Oreochromis niloticus: one gene and its partners. The protein of the gene in region 1 purifies or fractionates together with the protein of each later gene. This does not show direct contact. Links are inferred from orthologs where the notes say so. Each region holds a gene or a part of one and is shown in the gene's direction. Other genes may lie near its edges. The genes, in order: mapk6, cep170aa and eci2.

The links.
Region 2: the proteins of mapk6 (region 1) and cep170aa purify together in Homo sapiens (affinity purification with mass spectrometry; 3 studies listed by BioGRID and IntAct, with this or other methods). This does not show direct contact. The link is inferred for Oreochromis niloticus from reciprocal best matches to the Homo sapiens genes MAPK6 and CEP170.
Region 3: the proteins of mapk6 (region 1) and eci2 purify together in Homo sapiens (affinity purification with mass spectrometry; 3 studies listed by BioGRID and IntAct, with this or other methods). This does not show direct contact. The link is inferred for Oreochromis niloticus from reciprocal best matches to the Homo sapiens genes MAPK6 and ECI2.

The regions. Positions count from the first base shown.
Region 1 is NC_031965.2:13,502,730-13,509,649, forward strand, and holds the start of mapk6 (mitogen-activated protein kinase 6), read left to right. Parts: upstream 1-3,886; 5' UTR 3,887-4,100; intron 4,101-5,471; exon of another isoform or gene 5,472-5,681; intron 5,682-6,920. UniProt on the Homo sapiens protein: Atypical MAPK protein. Phosphorylates microtubule-associated protein 2 (MAP2) and MAPKAPK5.
Region 2 is NC_031978.2:11,267,103-11,274,288, reverse strand, and holds the start of cep170aa (centrosomal protein of 170 kDa), read left to right. Parts: upstream 1-4,084; 5' UTR 4,085-4,259; intron 4,260-7,186. Other genes in the region: rtkn2 (rhotekin-2), read right to left, coding at 460-561, 865-999.
Region 3 is NC_031974.2:3,676,530-3,683,528, reverse strand, and holds the start of eci2 (enoyl-CoA delta isomerase 2), read left to right. Parts: upstream 1-3,928; 5' UTR 3,929-4,078; coding exon 4,079-4,134; intron 4,135-4,182; exon of another isoform or gene 4,183-4,482; intron 4,483-6,027; coding exon 6,028-6,086; intron 6,087-6,108; exon of another isoform or gene 6,109-6,120; coding exon of another isoform or gene 6,121-6,157; intron 6,158-6,367; coding exon 6,368-6,471; intron 6,472-6,999. UniProt on the Homo sapiens protein: Able to isomerize both 3-cis and 3-trans double bonds into the 2-trans form in a range of enoyl-CoA species. Has a preference for 3-trans substrates.

The DNA.
Region 1 (6,920 bases):
TAGTAATCTCAACACTTTGGTTGGCTTCATAGCCCAGTATTGCGTCTCATCAACACACCAGCCACTCTGCCATGCCCCTGAATTTTGAGATATTATAAGAGAGGGTTTAGTTGATGGGAAAGCTGAAGTGAGATTCAGGCTCATCTGGGATCAATCTTTAAAGAGTGCTGGTGTGACAGAGGGAGCTAATCAATCCCATGCTCATTGCTGGTGTGACCCCGATGTGTGATAAGAAGCTTGATGCTGCGGCTGCCGAGGATTAGAGAGAATTGCTAAAGTCAGACAATGGAAATGCGTCTGTGTGCTGGAAAGTCAGAGAGGAAAGATAAGGACGATCTTATGTAATTATTCAAAATTAAGTCTTCTAACTGCACTATAACCCCTTTGTGCATAAATAAGCACAAACACATTTTAGATAAGATAAGACAAGAAAGAAAAGACAAGAAAAGATAAGATAAGATAAGATAAGATAAGATAGATGAGTTTAGAAAACCATCTGATTCAGCTCATAAACATGAAAACATCACACTGAAGGAGATGAATGCAGAAGTTTGAGACAGGAGAGAGTTGATACTGATGGCACAGGATGTCCTTGGTCTTATTTTAAACCCAAATATTATGAGTAATAAGACCTTGTAGACAGTAAAAAGACAGTGACGGGACAGAGGTGTGTGGTTGTATCATTATCACACATCGAGATATCTGATATTAAACGCAGCTTTTTCATTCGCAGGTGTGTCATACTTCATATCGTTATCACAGTCCAGCTCTCCCTCAGTCTTCTGTTGTAGTGCTGTGGACAGCATGCTCTGGGTGGACTTATCTCGGCTTTATGATCCCCTTCAGGATTTGTTCTGGCACTGCTGTGGCGTAAAACATGTTCAGCATCTGACTTTGACCTTGTTTTCTAATCTTTATGCTTTTATTGCCATGAAAAGAAAAACAACAAACTGTCCACTCAAGTGTCATCAAACGTTTAGCAACTTACCTTGAAATGAACCACGTATCAGGTTTATGATGTACTCAGAATCCCGGCTCATTTAGAGGAATTATTTTAATCTTTTAATAATCAACATGCTCTTGCTCAATACAGCGGTTGCTCTTTTTATTTGCTTTTGATTACGATTATGCAATAATATCCTGCCATACAGCTTCAGTGTTTGGACAGTGACTTTTATTAATCTGTCTCACCTGAACCTGTTGAATAGATTCAAACTCATAAGCAGTGAATGCTTTCTGCATTAGTGCTGTTAAGAAACCTCCAGATTCCAGAGCCTCTGATCCTCTTACATCACCACCAAACACCCAGTTTTATCTCTGACCCCACACAAACAAATCCAATCACATCAAGCACACAGAACACACAATACACACAGTGTACCTGCCAGATCACTTAATCATTTCACTTCAGAGTATCCCAAGAATGTACTATTTTGTCATTTGTCTGACGGGCGAGGAGCAGACAAAACAGGTTATATCACATCAGAGAGGCGGACGGATCATACCCCCAGCAATCCTGCGAGTGAGGATTCTCCACTCACAGATGGCGAGAGAAAAGCAAAGAAAAGGCAGATGGTCTATTCCTCTCCTTGCATTTCATCTCACTGTTTGCTTCCAAAAATACAGCAATGAAAATATGCTGATAAAAAAAAGAGATTGCACATTTATAATCTGCAGACACGCAGTTCTGGTTTCTGACTTATTCAAAATCTATCTTTCGCGCAAAGCAGAGATTTCATTCTGACACACTTTTTGGTCATGTGGTTGATATGATGAATGAAGGTTGTGTTAATTTAAAAATCACTAGAGATATCATTCTGCAATCTTTTAATTTCAAAAGTGATTTGATACTGAATACACGCTACACATGGTGTGGTCTCATCTTAGAATTGAACCAAAGTACACTATCCCAAATAAAAAGAACAGCCTGATTTTCATGCCAGTGGTGGTGGCACTATTGTGTCTTGCGTAATCGTACTGTCACATCCCACTAACAACCTCCCGCTGGAGTAAATCGTTTGAACAGCTGGATGTGAACTCATCTGTCCTTGACATGAACTTAAGTGTCGTTAAATACGCTCCTTCAATCCAGACTGAAGACAGACAGACAGTTCACAAACACTTGGATTTTCTAACATCAGTGCATTATTATTTTTATTGTTCAGTTTTATATAAGTATACTCTTTTTATTGTGCCCCCATGTGGTTTTAAGTTGAACTTTTTTCCTTTTAAATTCAAAAATGTGCACTTGTCGACTTGTTCTGTGTTGTTTTTTTTGTCTCATACAGCACCCCGAAACTACCTCTATGCATGAAATGTGCTTTTTCAATACAGTTGGCTTGCTTTACCTTTGAGCAGCAGTGCAGCAGTGAAGTCCAGTTCAATTTAAACACAACAAGCTTTGGAAATAAAGTGATCATACATGAAAAAAAGTTTTTAAAACACAGAAACACTACCTCATCTGTCAAGATATGCAAGTCATGCCATTGCATAAACACATTTGCCCCTTGCACTGGAGACACAATGACAAACACTTCACAGCCTCTTTCACAACACTGTGAAATACCCGACTAGCGCAGCATCAGACAGAGTGTGTATGGATTATATAGCTGCTGTACACGTCCTGTGGTCATATGGTCATTTACAAGGGTGCGAGAGTTGAAACTCCTTCGTGAGCCGTTCTGCACCTTAGTTTGAGCTCCGGTGAGGCAGACTGTTATATAACAGAGGACACTGTAGTGAAAAGCATCAGAGATTAGTGCTGGTCATTCTACCGAGAGCAGGACTTATTGCTTCTGTAAGCTGTGCTATGCAACGGTTTTTCACTGCACTCAGGCAGGGTAATCAGTGATTAATTAATTAATGCTGTTTAACAAGTGAGCGCAGCATTGCTTGCACAGGCAATGCTCATGGCAGCGCACAAGTTTATAGCATAAGCACCGCACTCCATTGATTAATCCCTTGCAAACAAGTGACAATTTAAAAAGCAAAATATAGGCAAACAACCCCAAACCCGCAGCTTGACCTCATGTTCTCACATGCATATTTTGATAACATACAGCTGGTCCAGACTCTGCAGCGGTCTGGTTTGGATATCAAACAAATGTGCATGCACGTCTTTCCTTACAGTCCAAACATGCCAGCCTGTCAAGCCTGTCAAGACACTGGGACGTGCTGCACGACAAGTAGACAGGACAGAGGAAGGAGCACCGCCAGAAAGTAGCAGACCCAGTGAGATGCTGTGATTAGGCAGAGAACAGACGCAGGTTTCAGGGAAGGCAAAACCAGATTTGTGGGGCAACAGAAAAACTGGAAATGATTTTTCCTATAGAATCAGCAGAAACTCATGTCTGGCATTTGTAAATTCACAAGTTCACGAACACCCTTACTGAAACAGACAATGAAAGAGAGCAATAAACCCAGAGGACACCCCTTCCAAGGATACACCACATGCCCACACATAAAAGGGTCTCTTTGTGCAGATGTATCTAGTCTGGTTGTCTGCAAACAATGACTTGATAGTCAAGTTTCGAAATGTGTGACCAAAAACTGTTTTCTCCCATTTAAGCAAATTGATTTTTTTTTTTAAAAAGAAAAAAAGACAAATAACTCCTGAGTGTCTTACCTAGAAGCAAGAGTTTATTTCAGGACAGGCTATAGATAATTAACTCTTTTTCTTTTTACAAAATAAAAGTGAGCAAATCTGAAAATAACAGGGTTTTTTTAAGAATGAGAAAAGAGTACGAAAAGTGGCAGAGAGAGAGAGAGAGACAGAGAAAGGTGGATTCTATGTGTCTGACACACTGCTCTGTCTAAGGCCAAGCCAAACACAGTGCAGTCTCCTCCCCTCTCCGGCTTGGCCTATATTAACTTTCCATGGAGCTCCACCTCACAACCAGAGGCACATGGAGTAGGATAACACACCGCCAAGGCTCTGAGAATACATTCACACACATATAAACAGACAGTGGAGTGCACTGGGTCTTTCAAGCTTTCTGCCTTTCGGACTAGGAGTGACGGACATACAGCATACTCTTCTGAATGGACTATTAACTCAGGCACCATGTTGCTCCATTCATCACTGGAGAATTTCAGCCATGGTAAGAGACCAGAAGATTTTTGTCTTTCATAAAGGTATGAGCAAGCTTGAGAGTGAAAGGAGCTGAGGACATTTTAGTTTTTGTGCAGACTTTGAATAAATGAAGAACAGGTTCAACATAATAAAACAGGGGATGCATGCAGGAGGATAGCAATGTCCAGAAATGGAGCTGAGATAAACTCGGATACTCTTTAAAGGTAAAAGTGCGCGCTTTGGTAAGAGACTCTTACCACTGTGACAGGCAGGTTGACAGCATGTGCACACACTCATTTTCCACACATGAGACACTCTGTGCACAGCAAACAAGACTGATGAACTGCAATAGTGCTGTGTTTGTGTTGGGCCAATGATAAAAAGACAGTGGCAGAAACAGAAGTAAAATACCAACATCTCAGTCAGATGTTTCAGTGTAAGACTTGGTGAAACAGTTCTCTTATATCTCATGATAAAAGAGAGGAAGCCCGGAGCACAGAGTGTAATGACTCAGAGTGGTGGAGATATATCATTAATGACTAAGTAAGAGAAGTCAGGATCTTCTGTCTCCAACGTGATCAAAACGTGAGGGCAGGGTCTCATGAAAGATAAAGTATGTGACTTTATCTTCTGACCTCCATTCTTGACTCTACAGAGCAAAGAGCACTCGTGGGGGCGAGGGAGCTCTATATCACATCCCGTTATTCTCAGTGGAGCTTTTTTATTGCACACAATCAGTGAGTTAAGTGCAAAAGGACTAGATGCCAGTAAAGAGAAGTTCTCTCTTTCTGATTTCTGCCCGATCAGCTCAACAGAAGTGACTTGGAGCAAAGACAGTGAAGCTGCTACCGGATCTTTTTGTACAGGATGGTTCAGAAATAAAGGATCATTTTGACAACATTTGCATCACTTTTACAAGCACAGTCAATCAGGTTTCTAAGGGCAGTTTCACTCATTTCTTCTTGAAAAGCCCCCTATAAATAATAGATTTACCAAACCAACAAATAATAAATAAATAAATAACACCTCAGCTGCATCTTTATGCTTTTAAAATATAGCTCATAAAACTGCGTTTTCACATAACTCCACGTCTATGGGAGCATTAATGGGCGGGATAACATATAGCCCAATCATAATCTGATGTTAAGAGCAGCGGTGAACTATATCAGGTCCTTTCCCAACATTTCTCTCTCTCCTTCTCACTCGTAACCGAGCCGCATCACGTTCCGGCAGCATGTAGTTTCTCTCTGTCCTCCATCGCAGAGCCCACCCCGGCCCGTAAGAGCCAGCCGCATTGTCGGACACATGGGCACTCACATGGTCTGCATGCGGATGCTGATGTAGACTTCTGCGGCTATGATGCTCCTTCCTGCCCGCCCACCCGTTCCCTCTCCATCCCTCCATCCATTCACAGCATCCACACAGAGAGGAGGGACCGGACGCTCCGCGGGACCATCCGTAGAATGAGGGAATCAAATCAGTGCCGTATTTGATTTCTTCACTTCTTTTCCTTGGGATGTGTAATCCTCGCGGAGATCTGATGTGACGTCGGGCCGCTAAAAGAGAAACACCTTGTCGGTGCCAAAGGGAGTAAATCCGCATGGCGCATGTGAGTGACCTGTCCGGATTTTTTTTAAGTCACTGACAAGACCACTACTGCGCGTCACTAAAAAATAATAATAAATGAAACAAAAAGTTAGAAAACAGCTTCGTTTTGCAAAGAAAAGACAAATAATATCATTCTTACTATTGATGCTGCTTTTAATAAAATTTAACAATGGTTGGAAAATAGAGGGATGACGCGTTCTCAACAGAAATTCTGAGAGGCAATAAATAGGCAATCATTTTCTATTTGGAGGACAACTCAGATTTTAAATGTAAAATACTAAAGAGCAAAGTGTAAGCAAATGATGCACTGAGGTGTTTCAACTCAAATGAACAGCTGTATCTGCTCTGCAGGTTATAATGCAGTATTTCCACCCCCCAGATTTCCAGATAGGAGATAAAATAGGATGGGTACAGAATGTTCTTCCTGGTCCATTATCTTGTGGCATCCTCATTTTATGTTGCATAATAGAACAAGTGACAAAAAACAAAAAAAAACAAAAAAAACTGTTTCTAGAGGTTTGTTACTTCTGGGGGTTAGTCTATTATAAAATGGCCTGCAGTTACGGCTGGTTGAACTTTGCATGCATCAAGAGGTGATAATGAGGATGGTGATGGTGAGGTCATATTTCCTGCAAGTATTATTGCCTGTGGTACAGTGCTGTTATCACTTGGTCTATAAACACAAACACTGAGCTGGAATGAACTCCAACTTCAAATGTTTTGAATGACTCCTGCTGTATTCAAGTACTGCTCGAAGCTTACAGCTCCACAACTCTCTATTTGCATGATATAATATTTAATATAGAGATATAAAGACTGTCAAAGGTCTGGGCTGGAAACAATAGATTGTTTTTTGTGTTTTTATTTTAACCAATTCAATCACCAGTTGCTGACATTTTAGTTGCTTACCAACTTAATTGTTCATTACACTGCTAAAATATCAATACATGTATTATGAGTAATATGACACAGTTGTGTTTCTGTGATAATAAAAATGATCAGAAACGTGAGGTGATTAATTCGTGATTTTTAGAAATAATGCAAATAATCTAAGTTAAATTTCATTATTTATGAAGCAGTGCCAACTCACTGCATCTAAACTAGGGCATGTTATTGTCTGAATAATGAACCCAGTGAACCCAGAGTGGGGTTAGGGTATTAGAACTAGAGATAATTACAGAATTCTATCTATGTAATAGTGGGTTGATAATAATTTTAAAAATAAATCAGGAATATTTAT
Region 2 (7,186 bases), on another chromosome or scaffold:
CTGGAATCTCAATATTAAGCATTTTTAGTGAAAAACTGACTTCCCTACAATTTTTGGACCCTTTGGTGGACTTGCAATCATTTGACACCCCCGCTCTAGCTCCACTAGTAACTACATCACAGTTAAGATGATACACTGGTGATGTTTCAAATTACTTGTTAAGCTTGAAATCACAAACTCAAGACCAACCTTTCGGTGACGTAATGATGCATGCATGAAGGGGTTAGATGGCAATGCCAGCTGAATGAGATTAATAAGATGTCTCGGGTAGCAGTTTTAATGGCAAAGATGGAGCATGGAAATGTACGAATGGCATTTCGAAAAGCACAAAACAAGTGAAAACTGGCAGGCATGCAGCAGACATATTCTAACTAAATGAAGTTTGATGATGTCTGTTATAATCACATCTAATATAACACAAACGTCATCATTCTCCATATCACAATCAACAATATGCACCTGTAGCTTCTTAGAAATCTGTCGTATGTACAACAAATTCATATCCTCTACTATCTGGGGAGTGTCTTTCAGAAGACTAGGGCACGGCTGCATGCTCTTTGCCTGCAGGGAGATTAGTTGGAGCAGTATTAGAAGGAAGCAAACATACAATGATGATGCAGCGTACACGGATATGGTTTCAGGGAAGTGAATATTGACAAAAGGGGCACTGCCCCGAACTAGCTTTGCCCTGGAGGGTTGAAATCCAGCTTGAGAAGGGCGTTAGCAAGTCAAGTCGCAGTACATGAAACTATGTTATTAAAGCCATGTGAATTAAAAAGATCAGCATTCGCATGTTTGACGTGCACTTTGCACCCACTCCATTGGGTAAATCATACAAAACAATCACTGTCGTACCGCCCATACCTCTGTTTGTAGGAATAAAGTACTCTGTCGTATTTTCTTTCGTTTAATCTCCATATCCACCGCGGAGCCGGCCAAAAACAATGACCTGGAGCCCCCATTTTTCTTGGAAGTTTGAACATCCCGCGGATCGTCCATGTTGTATGTCCATTCGCTAACAGCAGCTGCACCAGCAGCGTATTCCTGCTCCTGCTTCCAACGGCCGGGGGCGGTTCGATTTCTATTATCTTACCTCCCGAAAAAGAAATGTCCCGTCGTGTCAACATAAAGTAAACCCATTACAAAAGCTTAAAAGTGTATTGTTCTCTCAGCACATTTAATATCATATCAAATAAATAAAAATTAGGGTATAAAATGTAACCAAGCTACGACTTAATAAAATGTTGTAGTCACCATGTCACGCTAGATCAAACCTTAAAATTAAAACAAAATTAAACTCTAACTTACAAATGTCCTATGGAATCGAAATCATTAAATAACAAGAATTAAATAAAGAAAAAGAATACTTTAACAATAATACATAAAAGGGTACAGTTCAAATATAAACATGAAAAAACGTCCCGCTTTTCCCGGCGGCACTGCCATACATAAAAACGAGTGCCTTTACGTCAACAGGGAGGGGGCGTCATTGCGTCAGTGTGTCAGACAAAACAGGGCTGAACCGTTTTCGAGTTTGAATTTTCAGACAGTATAAAATCATAGACAGTATCAGATAACATATATTTTATTACATATGTTATTATTGTATTTTATATTTAATTCATCTGAAAATGTATTTTAAATATTATAATATAATACATACAAACATGCAATTAACTAACAGGCTGTAATGCTAATTTAAAAGTATAATTCTCACGTTTATGCAATGAGCATTTCCATTTTGAGCTCCCATTTTTAAAGCAAAACAAATATGAATCTTTTATATGTTACTGCCATTTGATCAACCTCTGCAATTTCATATTTTTTAAAAGCGGTGGATGTTTTTCTTGTAGTGCCACATCCCTAATTAGTTTGATAATCTCGAGTAGTAATTGGTTCCTGAATATCATGCAGCAGATACAGCCTTCATTATCAGCATGACCTCTGCACAGTCCAGGTGGTGGTACTGTAACAAAAGACCCCGGAACGTAACCAGTGTGAGTCCAGGAAACCCGCCCACCCGGTTCTGGCTGACATCGCTTCTGGTTGAGTTGGAAGCATCCACGGTTGCAGTTGTGGACGCAGGCGCTGCTGAGGATGAACTCCGTCAAGCTGGGGAGAGAAATTCCACTAACACAGGAAATTACATCAGCTTTTAAAAATAAAACGCAGGATTTTGAATTTTAGACGAGGTTGACATGCAGTATAATCCTCTGAGTCACTCAGTACACAGTGATGTCAGCTACTTTACCATCTGTAGAGTACTGTTAGAGTGACTGCCCTACAATAATCCATATCTGTCCATATTTAATACACTGTAACGTTTTATTTCACACTCCTTGAATCAGGAACTAGTCTACAATTGCACCAGCAGCAGACCTATCTATAAGTGGAAAAAGAGTTTTGTAAACATACAGGCATGTGCCTGAAATCCATTCATTCCTAACAGGATGCAAGAGCTTGGAATTTTATTGGGGAAGTGCTATAGTGGGTTTATGGCTTTAAAATGACTTGTCATGTCTTTCTTACTTATATTTTTAAGTAATTTAATCTATGATATCAGTCTTTATCTCTATAATGCTTTTAGTAGCATTGGGTCTAGGGTACAGTAATTCCATAAATATGGTATTACTGTAGATACAAGTTTCTTTTTTTCTTTTTTTTAACTTTCCCCATATAATAAATTATTCAAAATACTAAGGGTTATTACATGCAAATTTTGTCAAAGAATGGTTTCACATATCCCAAAATATAAAAGGATCCATGGGGACACAATGCACACAATCTTGGCTTTATAAGTTAGAACATGATATTGAACTTTTTAGTTGAAACTCATAACAGAAAGACTTTGGTTGAACCTCTGGTTTAACTCAGGTGATCATGAGATTATAGTTGTGCGCATTGTTCTGAATATTACGTTTATTTCAGTATCAAATACACAAATAAATAAATAAGTAATTTAAAAGCTTTCTGGGGAGACAGCGTTTAAACTGTGAACGTCACACACCTTGCAGTTGGGGGGCAACCTTCTACTCATTTTTTCATATGTGTTGTGTCAAGCTGCTTTGAGAGCTCAATGAGGAAGACCTGTCAAGCACAGATAATACCATTTTTGAATTCAGGGTGCTGAGCTGTGAAAAAGGTGTAGGTATTCAGGGTGGCAATGTGAAGTTGTAACACAGCACCATGGGCCATCTCTATGTTTTACACTTGCAGGTGTAGGTGCCAACCATCTTGTACATAGTATCTACACCTCCTTTGGTCTTGTTATAGAATTTGATTAATTAGTGTTTTTTTCCATTTCTGGTATTTTCATCCCCCATTTTGTTGTGATACATCGAGTACAACAGCCATTTCTTTCTTGATGACATAGCTGACTATGGTATCACAAACGTATCACATGTATCACAAACCCAGAAGATCTTCAGGCCATACTTGACGGGCTTGTTTGGCAGTGACACAATCACTCGGGATGAATTGCCGTCTGAATGTTGAATAAATGCTGTCTTTTAATCCTAATTTCTCTAATAAGAAGGATGTTTCATGAACTTTCTCATTTACCATTTTTTAATTACCATACATTCTGTACATTCTTAGAACTGTTTCAACCTATTCTTTTTGCAAACTAAAAACATCAAAATCACATCACATCACATCACAAAAAACAAAACAGAAAAATTGCTATCTACTATGGAAGCTCGTTTCCACCACTAAAAAACCCCAACATTATTTGCCATCCATATATCAAAATTTCAGGTTTTTATCTAAAAAAAAGTCAGAGAAAATAACTCCAAAATGACATAAATCAAAAATAACGTAAAATTTCCAGTTAATTTTGAGAAATAAAATATCCTGAAATGAAGACTTATGAATATCAATTTAAACCCCCCCCCCCCAAAAAACCTAACTCAACTTCCTTTTAGCGGAAGCAAATTTCCATACTGTGACAGCGGTATGATTAAAACTTAAAACACCACTGAAATTATGATCGACGCCTCAACTCGGAAATCTGAGTATCCTGTTGTCTCTTTGACTTTTATTTTGAAACTTCTGACCGGAGGCAGTGATTGGTCTATTTGTCACTTTGACGCCTCTTTCAGGATGTTGGTCCGCTCGCCGCTGTTTTGCAGGGAGTCAGTAGCTTATTGCTGAGCAACGGAGGGAGAGAAGGCCCCCGCATAGAGCCAGACTGAACTGCAGCAACGACAGGGCTGGGCTCCACACGCAGTCACAGAGCAACAAACATCTTTAAGGAAAGGGTAAGTGTGGAGTGTACTTGATTTTTTTTCTTAGCGAACAGTATACAATTGACAGCCCGTAGTATGGTTTTAGCTAGGTGGTTGACCGTTACTCACGTGAAGTTTGCTGCAGACAAAAAAATATAAAGAGTCGCTTTTGCTTTCCTTCTGCACATCCACTGATGTCAGTTTCCTCTTTCAGTGAGCTCATAGAAAATTCCCCCAAATTTTCAAACCATTAAATCTGTATTAAATCTGAGTAAAATTTAGGAAACAAAAAACACTCCGGCTCTTGTAACGACTAAACAGATTGGTCTGACTCCCTCTTGGCTAACGGGATGGCTACTATTGTCAGCAGCGGCATGACAAGCATACCCTGCTCCACCTTTGTAAGCCGCACAGACTATAGCCACTTTGCTGCCCTTGTAAAAACACCGGCCGCATACTGCTTCACTCCAGATCAATACTATTGTTTACTACTGACCTGATTTTGTCCAGTAGTTGCATCCTTTTGTAGCCAGACAGAGGCTAATCGAGACAAGATGCACATCAATGAAGGTCGGTCACACTGAACGCTTTGTTTATCTTAGTGGAAACATGCTACCCCCGGGGTCTTCTTTTAGTCTGTATTGTCTAAGAGGTAGATTTTATGGGGAGGTTTTACTCTAAGTAAGGCAACTGCCGAGTGTTTTCCGATAACGGACCCCCCTCCTCTTCTTCTGTGTGGAGGCTTTGTTTTCGTGGGGCAGATGTAGCTGGCCTGCATGCATCCGCTCTCTTTGTGTTGAGTTTGATTTTTTTTTAGCTGTCATCATCACATTAGCTGTAAAACTTTTGAAAATAGCAGCAAATGCTTTAGTTTAAATGCCATATGGTAATTTGATAACTCTCCCACAGGCTGTTCATAAGCAATTGGTACTTCATGCTAGAAATCAATGCAAAAATATTGTAATTACGGTTTAATTACTGTTACCAATTTAGCACAAATGCTAGAGGAAGATGCATATCAATCGAAGCCTCACAGCTGTTCAAAACATTTAAAATTAATATTTATATTCACAGCATTAGAAACTGTTATATTTTATTTATTTAGCTATATTATGCTCTTAAATTTCATCCTGTAGACTCAAAGGTGCTGGTGAAAGTCACTTGCAGCTCTGGTCTGAGTTTATAACCCGATTAGATGTTCTTTGAGAGCTACGTGTTTCACATCAGTGTGTCTTGCTAGTCTCCTCCCTCAGCTGTAAGAATTCAAATTTCTTGGGTTCGAGCCAAAAGAATGTGCAGATAATACCATCCAATCCAGTTTTGCTCCTTTTCCCTTTTCTCCCCTTTTTCCGCCTTCTTCCTGTGTTCTCCCCACAAATGTGGCTGCCAGCAGGGTTGTTGGCTCCACTGGCGGTTGCATTTTTAAAAACTGTGTCAGTGTCACAGGACGTTTGCTGCACTCTCGGAGAGGAAGCAGCAAACTGACTGAAGCTAAACTACAGCCAAGCCTGACTACAGACGTGTCTATTACACTTAAAACATAGCTTTTTTGAGTTTTATTTTTCTTTAGAAAAAAAATCTAGAAGCTTCTTGCAGTAATTCGACTATCAGTGCTGTTTGATCAACTCACATTTAATGTGCAGTGATGTAAATTACCATACTCATTGAAATCCTGCTTTTTCACCCTGATATTCTTTCTCAGCATCTTAACTCAATCTGCTGTTCAAAGAGTAATTTGTATGCATATAGTATATCCTTCAGTAATATTTTCAATTCTAGTTTCAAGTTGGGGACATTTTTGGAGACTCTTACTCAGCCTGCCCACAGCCATTGTGTATAGTAGGAAGTTTAGGAAGTGAGTTCATTTTACTTCAGTGGCCCGGGAGTGTTATGTGTGACAGAAAACAAGCCAGTCTTGAACTTAGTATCTGATTGTATTCAGTTGTATTTAAGATGTTGTTAAAAGTTTTGTAATTGGGAGCCTGTAGCTAAAAATAGAAGTGAATCTCAGTTTTGTAATCTGCCAGAGTAGAAACGTTAAAAGGGTTATGAGAGTCACATAGCCTTGCCTGGTAACGCTCATGCTGGCGTGTGGTGTCAGAGGGAAAAACAAGAGAGGTGAATAGCGAAGTCTGTGGTTAGAAATTGGGAGAGACAGCACAGTATACCAGACAAAATTCCCCAAAACAAGCATGGAGCATTTTATATATACAATCATCAGCCGCTCCCTTGTTATGGAACATAAAGGGTGTGTCTGATTTAAAAAAAAAAAAAAAAAAAAAAAAAAATGCCATTTAACCTCTCACAGAAAGAGAAATTGCACATCTGTTTTGGGGTGTAACATACTCCCCTCTGAGTTTCCTTCATTTGATACTTCTTTCCACTAGATATCAATCTTATATTTGAACATGTTCTATTCTCATCTTTCCCTCTGCCAACTCCTGATTGTCCTGTTATGCTAACGTTTATGTTTTTTCCCTTCTAAGTGCAAGAGTGAGAGAGTTCACTATTTTTATCTGCTACTGAAGCTATTGCTACAGCCAGGATAAATGTTGGCACCATAATCAAAGTGGCAGGGTTGGCCAAATACTAATGTTCCTGTTAAAGGGCCATTGGTTAGTCATTATCTGCTCAGCAGGGGCTATGCAGGGCCATTAGAGCAGTCATCAGACCAAAGGTATATTTGAAATGACTGCAATATGTTTTCTATGTAAATGGAGTTTGTATGTTGTGCTCTCTTGATGCTAAAATAGGTATAACTATCTACATGAATAATTAGTTAGTTAAAAGTTTCAGGTTTTTGTAATTTAATATTCATTTCTGGAAGTTTAATAGGTAATTCATGTTATTTTTTTCATTTACAATTTATTTTTCTTATTCCCTATTAGAAAGCTGCCTCCAGACCTTGTTTCTGAAAAATGTAGTGTACCCATGCTCCAGAGAATGAGTCACATGAAAAT
Region 3 (6,999 bases), on another chromosome or scaffold:
TTACATCTCCTAAAATGATTAAACTGTCCAATTCTATTATAGTCAGCTTTATCTGGAAGAATAAAACACATTATATACGCAAATCACAATTAGTTAAAGACTATGAAAACGGGGGCTTGGAAGCTTTAGACTTTGAATCCATTATTGCTGCGTTCAGGCTCAGATGGTTAAAAGACTGCATTTCCTATCCTCAGTCTATGTGGGACCAAACAAACTCTTTAATAAGCTCGGGGGTTAGATTTTTTGCTCAGATGTGATTATGAAATATCTAAGATTCCTCTTAAGTTGTCTAGTTTCTATAAGCAAGCTTTGGATTTTGGGAAACTAATTTTCACCCACAATTCTGTGTTGTGGAATAACAGGGTCATAGTCATCAATAAGAATCCTTATTTAAATCAGACTGGTATGATAGAGGTGAGAGTTTTGTTGTTGATCTGCTTGATAAAAACAGAAACTTGCTATCTTACAAAGAATTTATTGATAAACATAAATTAGACGTTTCATTTAATAATTATAATAAGGTTTGTAAAGCGATACCCACACCGTTGTTAAATCTTATCGTAAATACTTTAAAGTGTTCACTAATAAGAACATGCTTACCTTCACTGATGGTAATATCTCAATAAAGGACAAACAATTTAATAATAAGTTAATCTCTAATACCTTTAAGCAAATAGTATTCTGTAACTATAATGTCAATGTCAGACTTGACCTTGATAGCATGTTGAAAGAAAAGTCATTTTCTTTTTACCTAAAATACCCACTTGTGCCTAAAATGAAAGAAACACTTCAGCATTTATCCAGTTGGAGACTTCCTGTATAAAAGGTTTAATTTTGAGGCCGACTCTTGTGCTTTCTGTTCTTCTGATCCAGAAACATTAGAGCATCTATTTTTCCCTCGTCAGTATGTTGATGCTTTTTGGTTTGAAATACTCTGTTGGGTTTCACTCAGAGTTTCCAATATACCTTCCTTCACATCTGAGGATGTTCTTTACTTTATGGACAATCTGGATTCTGAAATCTCAGATGTTGTAAGGTTTGTAATAGTGCTATGTAAGTTTTTTATTCATTCATGTAAGTGGAAGAATGCCTCTCCTCTGTTTACCGTCTTCTTCAATTACTTTTGTCATAATTTTAAGTCACTAGGGGGCGATCGTGGCTCAAGAGTTGGGAGTTCGCCTTGTAATCGGAAGGTTACCGGTTCGAGCCCCGGCTCGGACAGTCTCGGTCGTTGTGTCCTTGGGCAAGACACTTCACCCGTTGCCTACTGGTGGTGGTCAGAGGGCCCGGTGGTGCCAGTGTCCGGCAGCCTCGCCTCTGTCAGTGCGCCCCAGGGTGGCTGTGGCTACAACGTAGCTTGCCATCACCAGTGCGTGAATGGGTGAATGACTGGATATGTAAAGCGCTTTGGGGTCCTTAGGGACTAGAAAGCGCTATAGAAATACAGGCCATTTACCACTTAAGCTTATTTCAAATATGAATAAAAAACTGCTGTACTATACTGTAAAACCACAGAGTACTTGCTATTCTGAATATTCCTGCCTGTGTCAAAAGGCCCATGTTCCTTATTATTATACCTCAGATACTTTATTTTCTCCCTTTGAAATTAAAATGACTTACTTCACCATCTTTATAATGTAAATTGTTACAATGCTGGTCTGTTTCCTTGTCTTGTATTTGATCATTTCTTTCAATAAAGGATAAAAAAATTCATGCTCACAGACTGATACACAGACTGTTTGATCTCCAGAGATAATATCTGCGTTCATAACACCTGTTTATAACTCACCTGTTTAAATCGTATTAAGGATTAAAGTTTGCATTAATAGGGGCGTGGCCTCTTTGACTGAGAGGTGGATGGTGACACAGGTGGTTGTAGCTGCTAGCTGTCTGCTAGCTTCACCTGAACTGCACCTCTGGACCGTGTTTGTGCTGTTGGAGCATTTTTAATGACATCATGTGACCAATAACATGGCGGCTGTGAGGTTACTGTGGTAACAGAGCATCCAACAATGTGGAGCTCCAGGTTTTGTGCACAGTGAAATTTGAGAACTTTGATTGGGTGTTACTTAAACCTGCTCTTGATCCTACGGTTCTTGCAAATTACAGGCCTATCTCCAAACTACCTTTTCTTTCTAAAATTCTTGAAAAGGTAGTTTACAGCCAAATAATGGCCTTCCTGGAAAAGCAAAATGTGTTAGAGGTTTTCCAGTCTGGTTTTAAACCCTTTCACAGCACTGAATCAGCCCTTTTAAAAGTTTTTAATGACATATTTTTAGCGACTGATGCTGGGGACTGTGTTGTTCTTGTGCTTTTAGGTTTGACAGCTGCGTTTGATACTGTGGATCATGCCATTTTATTCTCTCGTTTGGAGCACTGGGTGGGCATTAGGGGCACAGCACTGGAGTGGTTCAGGTCTTACTTGGCAGGGCAAACTTTTTGTGTCAGTCTCGGTGACCATGTGTCGTCCTCCCCTCTTGTGTGGTGTCCCACAGGGCTCAGTTCTAGGCCCCCTCCTCTTCTCTTTATATCTGCTTCCTCTTGGTTCTGTACTGAGAAAGCACGGCATTGCTTTCCACTTTTATGCTGATGACTGTCAGATCTATGTCCCTCTAAAGAAAAAAGGCAGATACCTCACACAGCCATTACTTCAGTGTCTCGATGACATTAAAGCTTGGATGTCTGTTAACTTTTTAAAATTCAATGATAAAAAGACAGAGGTAATGGTTTTTGGTAGCCCCACTGAGACCCCCAATGTGTATTCCCTGGCCCAGTATGTTAAGCCAACTGTCACAAACCTGGGGGTCAAAGTGCACTGTGATCTGAAGTTTAATAATCAGATTAAGGCAGTGGTAAAATCAAGCTTCTTTCAGCTCAGGCAGTTGGCAAAAATAAAGCCAATTCTTTCACCGCAGCACTTTGAGACAGTGATCCACGCCTTTGTTAGCACTCGGCTGGATTACTGTAATGCACTTTATATTGGGGTCAGTGCATCATATATTAGTCATCTACAGAGGGTGCAAAATGCTGCAGTTCGTCTTTTAACTGGCACTCAAAAGTTTGAGCACATTTCCCCTATTTTAGCTTCACTTCACTGGCTGCCCATTTCTTTTAGGATTCATTTTAAAATTCTTGTATTTGCTTTTAAAGCCCTCCATGGCCTCGCCCCATCTTATCTCTCTGAGCTGCTACAGCTGTATACACCCACCCGCTCTCTCAGGTCAGCTGATCAGCTGCTCCTGAATGTACCCAGGACTGAGCGTAAACTTAGAGGAGATCGTGCTTTTGCTGCAGCAGCTCCAAAACTGTGGAACGAGCTTCCTTTAGAGATTAGACAGGCCAGTTCTTTACCTGTTTTTAAGTCACTCTTGAAAACCCACCTCTTTACCTTGGCCTTTGACACCACGTGAGATGTTGGTTTTTATTTTTATTTCAGTTGTTTTTAGGTGATTCGATGCTGTTTTATCTTGTTTTTGTTTTAATATAGGGCTGTTTTAATTTTATGTATTATGTGTTTTATTTATTTATATTTGCTGTTTTCTATTGTTCTATTGTTTTAACTTATTTTCTGTACAGCACTTTGTTCCTGTGCTGGGTATTTTAAAGTGCGTTATAAATAAAATTGGATTGAATTGGATACTTAATGAGAAGGTACCTATGTCTGTGTGATGCTGACATCAGCTGATAGCCTCTTAAATATGGTCACTTCTGGACAGAGAAAGCAACATGGTGGCAGCAAGAGGCTCCACAACTGTGCTACAGCCATCTTTTATATACAGTCTGTCCATTTTATTAGTTTCAAATCAAATCAAATCATGAGCTCAGTCTGTGTTGAAGCTGACTTTATTTATTTTTTGGCTTTATTCCATAGATACAGTCAGGACTGACAGGAAGCAGAGAGAGAGGAAGACATGCAGCAGTTCTCTTTAACCAATGGGAGAGCAGGAGATGACGGCGTGGGCGGGAGCAGCGATGTAAACATGTTAGCCGCTGATTAGCTCCACTGTGGCGACGCTAGTTAACCCTTCACCGCCTTAGCCCGTCCTCCCGAAGCTTGGACCCCCGGACCTGCGCTTTAATGGCCGGCATCGCCCTGAGGTGCTCCGCTGTCTGGCGCCGTGTCACATTAACAGGGTATGACCGGGGAGGCCCGCCGGTGCGGGGTGTTTGAGGCGGAACCAGAAGTTTAGATGCTAACTGTAGTTAGAAAAGTCTGTAGGAAGCTAACAGTTAGCATGGCTGTTAGCACTGAGTGTCGGGGGGTCTGTGGTTACCTGACAGCTAACGACATCTGTCAGACTCAGGTGTCACACAGAGACGGGCTGAGGCTGACAGGTGCGCTGCTCGCGCTCAAAGCGGAGAAATATCAGCTGTTATATAAGCAGCTAGCTGCAGCTAGCCACGACCTTTGCTCCACATTCAGACATGACCTGAAGATGAGGCTCAGCTTCATCCTCTGTTCATTCAGTGAGCGGGTCACAGGTGAGCAGACAGGTGGGCTGGCATGTTACAGCTCGTATTAGTGATGGGTAGATGAGGCCTCGTGAAGCGTTTCAGCACATTCCCCAAACTGTATCGGCACCGTGTCGACACAGTGTTGCTGTTTTGCTCCATACTGACACCTGCTGGACCTTAAATATCATTGCAGGCAACTTACTTGAGACTCACAACATTTCACAACAATTCAATGACCTAGTCATACTTGTACACTGTAAGGTATTGTACTTTCTATGGAATCATTTTATATCTTTTATATTGCAAATATTGTAGACATCACCAGTGTGTGAATGGGTGGATGACTGGATGTGTACAGCACTTTGGGGTCCTTAGGGACTAGTAAAGTGCTATACAAATACAATACATCTTTAAAATATAGTGTGAATGACACTAAGTGAAAATTAAAATGAAAGTGTTGTGAATGTAATATTACCCATTCGACTCAGAGTTTATTATAAATTTCTAATCAGAAAAATAAGTTTATTCAATCTTTTTGCATTCAGTCTATTGCGGTTTTTTTTTTTTTTTTACACCATTTCCCCAGCTTTGGAAAACTCACCGGCACAGATGAAGCTGGGGTACACAAAAGCTGTAAAGTCAGGTGGAAAAGGTTCTGATGTGGTGTCTTCCTATTCCCCCAGTACGTTAAAGGATCCTCTGATCTTGGGATGTTTCTCTCCAACACTCTCCACAATACTAAGGGGTTGGCAGTCCTTTATAATAAAATTCAGGACTGCCTGGCCCAGAGCAGTCTTCCTAGATGCTTGATTTGAAAAATAAAACACATATTAATAAAAAAAAAAATTATGATATAGGCCGACCTGTGTTCATTCTCGGTGTGTTTGTCTCCTCATTTTCATGTTTGGCTCTGTAATGCCTAAACATTGAGGAGGTGCTTTTGTTTGTGTAAGAAATGCAGAACAGATGCAACATTTAACCTGCATAAAATGAAATAAATAATTTACACTTCAACTCACATTGCTGTTTTTCCTATTCTGATAGATTACACTGAAACAAAGACAGACAAACTATTACCTTATTTGCAGTTAAAAGATCGAAATGATCCCACACAACAGAAACATTTCTTTTTCTTTTGGGCTCCATTTTGTTATGGACAGATGTGTATTTTTTTTTTCTTTGCCAGAGTAATTTTGTGGGGGGGGTTTTTGGTGGCGACTCATTCCGTTGGCAGGTGCGGATGCGGTACCTTTTAAACACAGTTTGGCGCGTTGGTAATGAGCGATACAGCAGCTGTATCGATCACGTGGCTTTTTCTTAAAGTGACGCACGCACCGATACAGGCTTCGCTCTGTGAGCTTGATACATGCGTCGGTGCGTCAGTGTTGCTGGACCCATCACTAGCTCATATTATTCACTCTGAAGATGGAGGTTCTGCTCTTAAATGACGATGAAGCCACAGCAATACTCTTCATCACTGAGCTGCGCCTGTTTGGGTGAAGCTGTAGTGAAAGTGTGAGTCAGGTTAGTCATGATTGGCTCTGTAAACACTGTGTGTGCTTCTGTTTCCAGCTCAGTCCGATCCAACATTCCCAGCCTGAAGTTTCACACCACAGCGTCTCCCATGATGGGTGAGTATCATCATCATCATCATCATCATCATCCATGATGTTCACAGCAGCAGGAGAGCCTTCAAAGCACAGTGAGTTATAAACAGGTGTTATTATGGAGACGGAGAGGACAGAGCCCGGAACAGGTTTGAATCATGTTTATTTCTGCTGGGATTTTATAATCTCACAATAAGTTCTCCACGTTCATCTCAGAGGCCCTGAGGAGCTCAAACAGCTGATGATGATGATGATGATGATAATGATCGGGGACTCTCGGTGATGATGTCATTGCGTGTTTTCAGGTGTGACGGTGGAGCAGTTTGAGCAGGCGAAGAGCAAACTGTCGACGCTGAAGAACGACCCGGGCAACGAGGTCAAACTGAAGATCTACGCTCTCTTCAAACAGGTGCCAGTTCCCCACATGTTCTAGATGTTCCACACGTTCCACACGTTCCAGATGTTCCACATTCAGACATTTGGTGTTCTGGAAAATTCTCACGTGGAGCTTTTCAAAGCAGGTTTTAAAATGGTTAATCCAGATTTGTCAAACCTTTTTTAAAAAAAAAATCATGTCCTCCTTTAAAAAAAAGTATTAGCTTAAAAAAATGATACTTATGAAAACTTCATAAAACTGTCTAATTTTCATTAACCTCAGTGTAAAAAACTAATTTAATTGGTGTTACTGTGGGACTGATTAGATTTGGTAGTGAAGGAAAATATAAGTCTCGTTACTGAGCTTCACTGCTGCCACCTGCCAGAGTCTTACGTCAGCTGTGGGGCCGGCTGTGGGGTCAGCAGCTGCTTCTGTTTCTGCTCGTTCTTCAGCAGTCGGTCGTCCCGGTTGGAGATGTGAGTAAAACTATGCTCAGCGTTCACATGTGGGAGCGTGCTGATCTCCTGTCATTGGCTGGAGTCGTGCGTGTGCTGCAGCTTT